2 linked regions of the Nothobranchius furzeri genome follow. The protein of the gene in region 2 purifies or fractionates together with the protein of the main gene of each other region. This does not show direct contact. Links are inferred from orthologs where the notes say so. Each region holds a gene or a part of one and is shown on either strand. Other genes may lie near its edges. The genes, in order: mob2a and serine/threonine-protein kinase 38-like.

Region 1 (4,485 bases), on a different chromosome or scaffold from region 2:
ACCCTTTCGCTGTTCCCAGGAACAACCTCCCCCACTGTCCAACGATCTTCATTTACTACCTTTCCTCTTTCACTCACACACGCGCACACGCACGTACACACACACACACACACAGAGGACACTGCCTCAAGCATCCTTTCAGTTTTCAAGGCCGATCCAGCTGGTGTCAACAGCTGTGTCACGAACCTGATTGAACCAGACGCCGTGGGAGGAACGGAGAATAGGTGAGCTCTGTCCGGTTTGGGTGTTTGTTTCTGCACGCCTGCGTCCACCAAGACTGTGCAAACAGACAACTGCTTCTAGGCCTCAGACTGGTGCAAATATTAGTGGCTGTGTGCTAAATGAACCAAGAAGACTTCTAAAAACGAGCCAGTCTACAATCCGGTCTCGTTAACAGAACCTGGTTCCAATTAACCCTGGAGCCGCAAGGGAACGCATTACACACCGCCTCTGTCAGTGCGCCCCAGGGCAGCTGTGGCTACATCGTGGCTCATCATCACCATCAGTGTGTGAATGTGCATGTGAATGGATGAATTAAACACTGTAGTGTAAAGCGCTTTGGAGTCCTTACTCTGAGAGGCGCTATACAAGTACGGGTCATTCGTTCACACACAGCTACGCTAACGAATTAGCTCAAATGCTTTCTCAGAAGTACAACAATTTACTACAAAACAGCCGTCACTTCCTCCGCTCAGGCACAAACATCAGCCCTTCAGTGAGGCTGTGCTCGAAACACGCCGATTTTCCATAACTCACCATCATCTCCATTAAGAATCCACCAGCATTCCTGCATGAAAACAATTGTTTTTTACTGGTTCCTGCTGTGATGTTAAAACACAACTGTTTAATAACCCCATGTAATGACCCCCCCCCCCCCCCCCCCCCGAAGCCGATGGCTCCTGCCAAGCCAGAAGTTGCACAACAGTTCCCTAAATTGTTTGTTTGTATTGCAGAGAGAATAACTATTAACATATGGATGCAGTCGATGTGATCTCCAACAGTGAAAAGCTGATGAAAACAAACCGCTGTGTTCTCTCAGCAACTTTATGACGAGATTGGAGAGGTTAGCTTCAACTTGTTCCTCTTCTCAAAAAGAAATAAACCATAATAAAAAGTATTCCACCACACTGATTAGACGTTTAAACCAGACGCATACATGTTCCCCTTTTTTCATCAGTAAGCGTAGGAAACAAAAGGTTTGATGTGAGCCGGATGTTTCAGACCCGTCTGTTTCTTCCAAGATCCAAAGCCTCTTTCCCCCTAAAAACCACAAATGGAGGAAATGGCAGTCTGAGCAGACCCGAGCAAAACCGCAGCAGCAGCGGGGGCTAAAAAGAGACACGGCTAGCAACAAGATGAACATTCAGCTGGGCCACGTCGCTGTAGGAATCGTTTCAGAAACTAAACTAAAATCTTGATTTTTGCCTTAAGAGGGTTAAAAAAATACAGTAAATGAGAAATGTAGCCATGTAGGAGTACAACACAATACCACAGTAGCTCTGGCTTGTTTATCTTCCTCTTCCAATCTCCTGCTTAATCCCATTCATTGACTCTGAGGGCCAACACAGTACAGAAGGAACTCCCCACTGCTAGCATCATAATGGAGCCTCATCAGCATCACAACACACACGTATTCAAGCACGGGGGTCTGCGATGCCACAGTGCAAAACTGCTGCTCAACAATGCAGCAAATGCCAACACGATTGGCTCTTTTATTGACAGATGAAGAGAATCTAGCTGTAAAAGATAATATGATGGATAAACGTGCTGCTGTAACAAGTGAATTTCCCCACAGTGGGATTAATAAAGTCTACTCTAAAACCTAAACGGGTGTTTGTTTAATCTGGTTGTGTAGGTTTTTCCTCCAGCTAGAGGAGCCGTACTAATGCAAGTTACCTTTATATATACACCTGCCTCCAAACAGGCTAGGAGTTTCATAAACAGACTCTCGACACTTCCTACCAAACTAAGCAGCTGCTTCGGCACAAAAACTGTCCCTCTTGGGCTTCTGTAGTGTATTTCCTAAGGGCTGAGCAGTCTTTACAATAATAAATTTCAACTTCCTGATTGATCAGGAGTGGATAGGCTCGTCTCCACTCGCTTCAGGTCTGGCAACAGACACGACAAAATCCAATAACACTTTAAGTTATGCTCGTTATCGTCCGCTAGGATGATATTCCCTCCGCAATCGACAGCAACACTCCCATTGTGTTGCAGAACAAAACAGGTTTTAAGGTATGCTCCCTGTAGGCTGCTGCTTGGAAAAAAATAAGGTAAAGGACAACTTCACCACAACACACTCCACACACACGTGAAATGATTAGCACCGAGCTCCCTCAGGAGTTAAAGCTGGACCAATTTCCTTCTGGTTTTAAGGAGGATCTCTCGTTTCATACCAGTCAAACGAGAGTAAAAAAACGCTGCCACGGTTATTTTAATGCCTAAAAACAACAACAACACTCCGAGCTCCAAGTGAAAATGTCCTAAATGACTGAAAAGTCTACACGAGGACGCACGAGTGTCTCGGAGACATCATCACCAGACAGTAATTTACTTCTACGTGTGAAAACTCGTGGAAGACGTCACATATAAACAACTCTGAATCATATTTAGGTCATGTTTTAAGACAATGGAGAAAATAAAAATGACGTATTACATTCAAATTCTCTACATCAAAGTTATTTTAAAATACAGATCCAAGGGAAAACTGTTTTACCGTAGCACTTTTCCGACTGCCTGAAGAACCATTTTGCAACTTAATGTGTTTTTAGGATTTTTCTGAGGGTGCATGTCCTTCTTCTTTAAAGAAAATAAGGCGTGATCTCTGACCATAGTTCAAAACATGAAGAAAATAAGTCAGACTCTCTCCTTCAGCTCTTTTACATTTGGCCTGTCCGACAAAGACACAGAGCTCCGGCTCAGGGAAGCTTCCGACTCACTTTACAGGAGAAAGAAAAACTTTTGAGGGAGAGCTTAAAGAAGCTCCACCCCCCCCCTTACTCTGGCCCAATCAGAGCAGGAGCTTGAACCAAGTGGGCGGGCCTTGGTGACGTTGAAGTCAGCCCATGTAGTTGGTCTTATCCTCTGATGAGTAAGAAACAGGTTGACTGAAAATCACACTTTTATTCAGCCAATAAGTAGAAATAAAAATATAAACAACCCATGAATAACACTTTAGATGACAAATCAGAACCAAAACCAAACATATTTAAAATAAAAATAGGATAAACAAACACTAAAGCTCAGCCACTAGTTTATATGCAATCACATCTAAAATATAAGTGTACCATTATAGTTCATGCTAAAACTGTGAGGTGAGCTGCTGAAACTACCCTGGAGTCCGGTTATGACGGCGTGTTCAGACACGGCAGGAAGGGCTGAGGAACCAGTGGGCGAATCAAACACAGCCCGTTGGAGAGCTAAAGGCAGATCTGTGAACACACACACCGAGGTTTCTTTGGAGCAATAATTTGAGAACTTTTACAGTTTGAGGCAAAAGATAAATATAAGCTCTAATTAAATAGTCAACAAGGAGCTCAGACAACAGCATTTGGGAACAAATTGAACAAAAGGTTATAAAAACTGACCGAGTTCAACTCATGAGACAATTGCAACTTCTGTCGCCAAACTTCAGCTTTCCCCTGTAATTATGGTCTCGATCCAGTCTTTTATTCTTCACTCGGCTGCTCAGTTCACACATTCCCACTTCCTCTTCCGTCACCTCTCATTGTCAACGTTCTAAAGCCGAACAGAAATACCTGATCTGAGATCTGCGGCGGATTCTTTGTGGCTTAAGGCGAGCGGCTACATGAGACGGAGATTGTGTTGATTTAGTGTATGAAGGTAACAAAGTGTCCTCTTATGGGGGTTAAATTAGGGTATGAAGAGGTGTGTGTTGTGCAGCAGGAACAGAGAGCGTTTCGGGGCAGCAGTAGCTCAACAGGTTGAGCGAGTTGTCCAGTAATCGGGTTGCAGGTTCGATCCTGGCTCCGGACAGAGAATGCTGCTGTTGTGTCCTTGGGCAAGACACTTAACCCACCTTGCCTGCTGGTGGTGGTCGGAGGGACCGGTGGCGCCTGTGCTCGGCAGCCTCGCCTCTGTCAGTGCGCCCCAGGCCAGCTGTGGCTACATCGTAGCTCATCCCCACCAGCGTGTGAATGTGTGAGTGAATGGATGAATGATACACTGTAACATAAAGCGCTTTGGAGTCCTTACTCTGAGAGGCGCTATACAAGTGCGGATCATTTATCATTCTTTTTGAATACCAAATCAACTGAAATATATCTTCTATATTTTTAAACCTCCTGTGTGATCGAATGAGTTGATAAGGAATGCTACGCATCCTGCATAACTGATGGCGTTTTGCACAAAGAGGGTGTACTGAAATTGCTTTAACTTTATAAAATATATATATTTAAATGATCAAATTTACATTAAAGCATATAATAAGTAATTTGCAATATATTTACATACTAACATTTCTCT
Region 2 (4,197 bases):
TCCATAGGTCTTTCTGCTACCTATTCTACATCTCTACGGTCTAACTCTAGTTCTGCAGCCACCTGCTGTCTAGAACATTTCATTCAACGTTCCACACGTTAACCACACTGTAAGCTGCTTCTTCTCCCTGCGGCCCGTCTGTATCTGATGCTGAGGTTATTTGGACTGGACTTTTGAATAAGCTCAAAACAAGTCTCTACCAGCAACAACACATTCAACAGCACCTTAAATCATGCTGGAACTTCCCCCAACAGCATAGCGGCTTCAGCAGACGAGGGGATACTGTTCTCTTAAAAAGAAATTAGCGCGCGAGCTAAAAAGACACCAGTGTATGAACTATAAATGAGAAGATGGTAAAGCCGTGATTCAAGCTGTCAACAAAGGTTAAATAAAAGATGGTCCAGAAGTTGCTGAGCATGCAGATATGTTGAACTGGTGTCTAAGTTAGTGAGCTGGTCTGTGATCTACGGCTAAAACAACACAAATGATGCAAAAACAGCCGAGGTAATGCGGTAACGCTCCTTAATATCTGAGCTTTTGACGTCCTAGCTAAATAACTCAGTGATGAGGGTTATGTTGAGACTGAGACGCTGACAGCACAGCATTCAGCACCAGCGGGGCTTAGCGGCCCGACCCTGTCTCCATAAAATGTCTGTAATCAACCCCCCCCCACCCCACCCAGGCGAGGGTGTCAGGCCTTTCCTGCCTTCATGTACGTGGGGATGGTGCCTCGCTGAGTCAGACCCTCGAAGCGTTTGTACGTGTAGTTCAGGAAGACCCAGTCTTTCGATTTAAAGTCGGGTTCCGTCGAGTTGGCTGTTCACACACGCGCAGACAGACACACGCATAAAAGAAATAAATTAGGAATATTTTAAGAGTACGTACCACATCAACAAAGGAACAAAAACGTAACTAAACAATGACACACCAGGCTGAAGGATGTCTGATTCAGGGAAGTCGTCAAAGTTTGACGTGTCGTCGATACTTTTGATTTCAATAGAAATGGCTGCTGGCCGCTCCCTGTGCATAGAGATGAGACTTGTTGAAAATTTGGTTCTAATAAACCTCCTGACTTCTCCTAGACTGTTCTTTTGTACCTGATGTGCTCCCAATCCACCGACTCAAAGAAAGCATGGCTCTTGATCTCCTCCACACTCGCAGCTCCAACTCGGTTCTCCGCATCGGTGCAATACCTTAAAAACAAGAGCGGAACGTTAAAATGAAAAACGGTCAGATCATGTTGAGAATGACCAGATTCAAGCCATTAGCGAAACCAAATATGTTTTTCAGCAGCATCTAGATTTGATTCAAAGCTAGGCAGCAAGCCTAACTAGCCCACAGCTAACAAGCCTAACGGCCCTAGCCTGTAGTTGGATCATTATAAGTAATCCTGTACAGTATTCTCTACAGACATCTTACACTAAAGCAAACACACATTTTACGGCACATTTTTGTATCTTTCCAAAACAACTGAAAAAATCAACAGAAAAGGGATCCAATCTGAATGTTTGATGAGCTACAAGTCTAGGTAGAACCTTAAAATAAGGTCTTTGGCTTTCTCTGAGATGGGAACTTCAGGTGGGAAGACAAGAGTTTCCTTCCAGTTCATAACTTTTCTGTACGTCTCCTGTGGCGTCTCGGAACAGAAGGGAGGATAACCTAGAAAACACAAAACAAATCTCAATATGTAGCTTAGACACCACGCCTTTAAGGTATCTTCAGCCCAAAGGGAAAATCTGTCATTTTGTTGTTTATTTTTACTGGAGGAAAATCATTTCTTCCCCACTCAACTTTAACATCTATACTTAGTACATAATCAAAATAATTATGACATATATACATTTTTATCACTATTTATAAACATAGACCTCATAACAACCAGCTGACCGTAGAAAATACAACAACGGCTCTAAGTAAGTATATTTGGTAGTCAAAGAAAGATTTTGCTCTGCAGGTCTAACACTGGACGGAACAGTTTTGTGTCTTACCAATCACAGTGCTCTACGTTTGTTGGACGGGCTTTGCACCAGAGCTGCGATGGAAAAAAAGACTACAAAAATGGCATCAGCTCAGGAACAGCGCTTGTTTGAAATGGCTTTAGCATCAACTTTGGACGACTGACTCCTACTGCACACTGGAAGCATCAGTGGTGCAGAAGGGCAGCAGAAAGGTTTACTCACGACAATCGCTGCACTCCAGAGCACACATGGTCCCCAGGCTCCTCATAAGACTACAATGGATTCTAGTTGAAGCAATGATGTTCTGCCGCTGATGCTTCCAGTGTGCAGTAGGCTTTAGACTTGGGCTTTTCTTTGAGACAGAGGTACTGAAGTTCTTAATTTCAAAACCGGATGCGGAGGGGCTGACGTTGAGATCGTTGAGGACTACCGGTACCTGGGTGTACACTTGGACTGTAAACTGGACTGGACTAAGAACACCAATGCCATCTTCAAAAAAGGGCAGAGTCGGCTTTTCCTACTGAGGCGGCTCGGGTCCTTCAATGTTGGTAGGAAAATGCTGACCATGTTCTATCACTCGGTGTTGGAGAGCGTTGTGTTCTTTGCAGCTGTGTGCTGGGGCAGTGGGGTGAAGATAGCTGATGCCAACCGGCTGAACAAGCTGATTAGAAGGGCTGGGTCTGTCCTGGGTGTTAGACTGGAGAACCTGGAGGAGGTGTCTGAGAGGAGAATGCTAAAAAAGCTTCTCTCTATCATGAACAACCCCTCCCACCCCATGCACGCCCACATGATGGACCACCAAAGCACACGCAGCAGAAGACTCATTGCCCCGAAATGCAGAACTGACCGCCACAGGAAATCCGAGAGGGTGCTCGCTGCAGAACTACAAAGGCGGAGCTGCACCATAAGGTGGAGCTGCACCAGAGTCAACCCCGCCCATTCACGCAAACTCAGCCTAGCCCACTGACTTCCGTTTTTGTTTTCAACTTTATCGCAAACTGACCTGACCCACATGAATTACGGCTGTTACTAGTTTACAGTCGTTAATGCTATGTTCTGTGCTCCAATTAAACAAGATAAATATAACTTGCTACATGACAAAGTCTGAATATATCCCGAAATAAAAAGGTTTCTCGTAGCGAATATCTGCCCACAGCCGCTCTAACAAAAGTCCTGTACAACAGCATGTACCCTTCCTGTGGGTTCTGGTAGTCCAGTGGCAAGATCGTCTGACTAACGTTTTGCTTTCCCCTCAGCTGATGCTGGTTCGATTCTCGGTGGGGTCGGCAACAATCTATTCAGCCAGCTGAAACATTTAATTTGTTCATATTTTAGTTGTAATGTTCATTTATAGCAAAATATTTATGTCTCTACAAGTTCTTTGAATTTGGTCGTTCCTAAACAGCATTTTAGTTGAAACTCTGCTCACAGATGGACTCACACTGGCTAAATAAACGAATGAATAAATAAAAAAAACACATTAGTCATTATATGTTAAACGGCATACCAATAAATTGTTGTAAACATAGTACTGGCAAGTGTAGCTAGAAATGAGGAAAAGAGATTATAGAATATTTCCACTGCTGGGAGGCGAACCTGCGCAAAACTGCATGTCAACCTGACACCATTACCACTACACCACCACATCTGATAAAAATCAGGTGGCGTTACATTTTATTATGTTATTTGGTGTGTCTTTGTAGATGGGATGTATGATTTTTCTGGCGGTGTCTCAGTAGAAGTCATTTCAGAAATAAATTGTCAGAAAATTCACAGAATATCCAGATTTGAGAACCAAGACCAGACCCACTTTGGGGGAGGAGACCAAATTGAAGCTGAGATGGGAAGAAAATGCATGAATGAGGCCAAAAATGGCTTTGGCGTGTTTCTTATGAGGAAATGACAATATAACATGATTAAAAGTTCCAAAAGTTAGATTTTTAATTATATGGAACCTTTACAAAAACTGTTCAATTAACTTCTCAACTCCCTCCTCAATCTTGCATTTTTTAGCTATAACACCCTCTTTGTTTCCAGAATGCTATCAAGTCTGACAACTGGAAGGAATTGGACTGACTCCGATAGGATGGGCGGGGCTGATTCTGGAATGGGCGGGGCTGACTCTGGTGCAGCTCCACCTTCTGGTGCAGCTCCGCCTTTGTGGTTCTGCAGCGAGCACCACTTGGGAAATCCTTCGTACCGGTGGCAATAGGACTGTTTAACTCTTCCTCACGCTGTA

Evidence for each region.
Region 1: the proteins of serine/threonine-protein kinase 38-like (region 2) and mob2a purify together in Homo sapiens (affinity purification with mass spectrometry; 9 studies listed by BioGRID and IntAct, counting the BioPlex papers as one, with this or other methods). This does not show direct contact. The link is inferred for Nothobranchius furzeri from reciprocal best matches to the Homo sapiens genes STK38L and MOB2.

What each region holds. Positions count from the first base shown.
Region 1 is NC_091744.1:77,548,176-77,552,660, reverse strand, and holds the start of mob2a (MOB kinase activator 2a), read right to left. Parts: upstream 3,028-4,485; 5' UTR 2,833-3,027; coding exon 2,717-2,832; intron 1-2,716. UniProt on the Homo sapiens protein: Stimulates the autophosphorylation and kinase activity of STK38 and STK38L.
Region 2 is NC_091741.1:59,878,461-59,882,657, reverse strand, and holds the end of serine/threonine-protein kinase 38-like, read right to left. Parts: intron 1,660-4,197; coding exon 1,536-1,659; intron 1,194-1,535; coding exon 1,098-1,193; intron 1,021-1,097; coding exon 929-1,020; intron 817-928; coding exon 692-816; 3' UTR 620-691; downstream 1-619. UniProt on the Homo sapiens protein: Involved in the regulation of structural processes in differentiating and mature neuronal cells.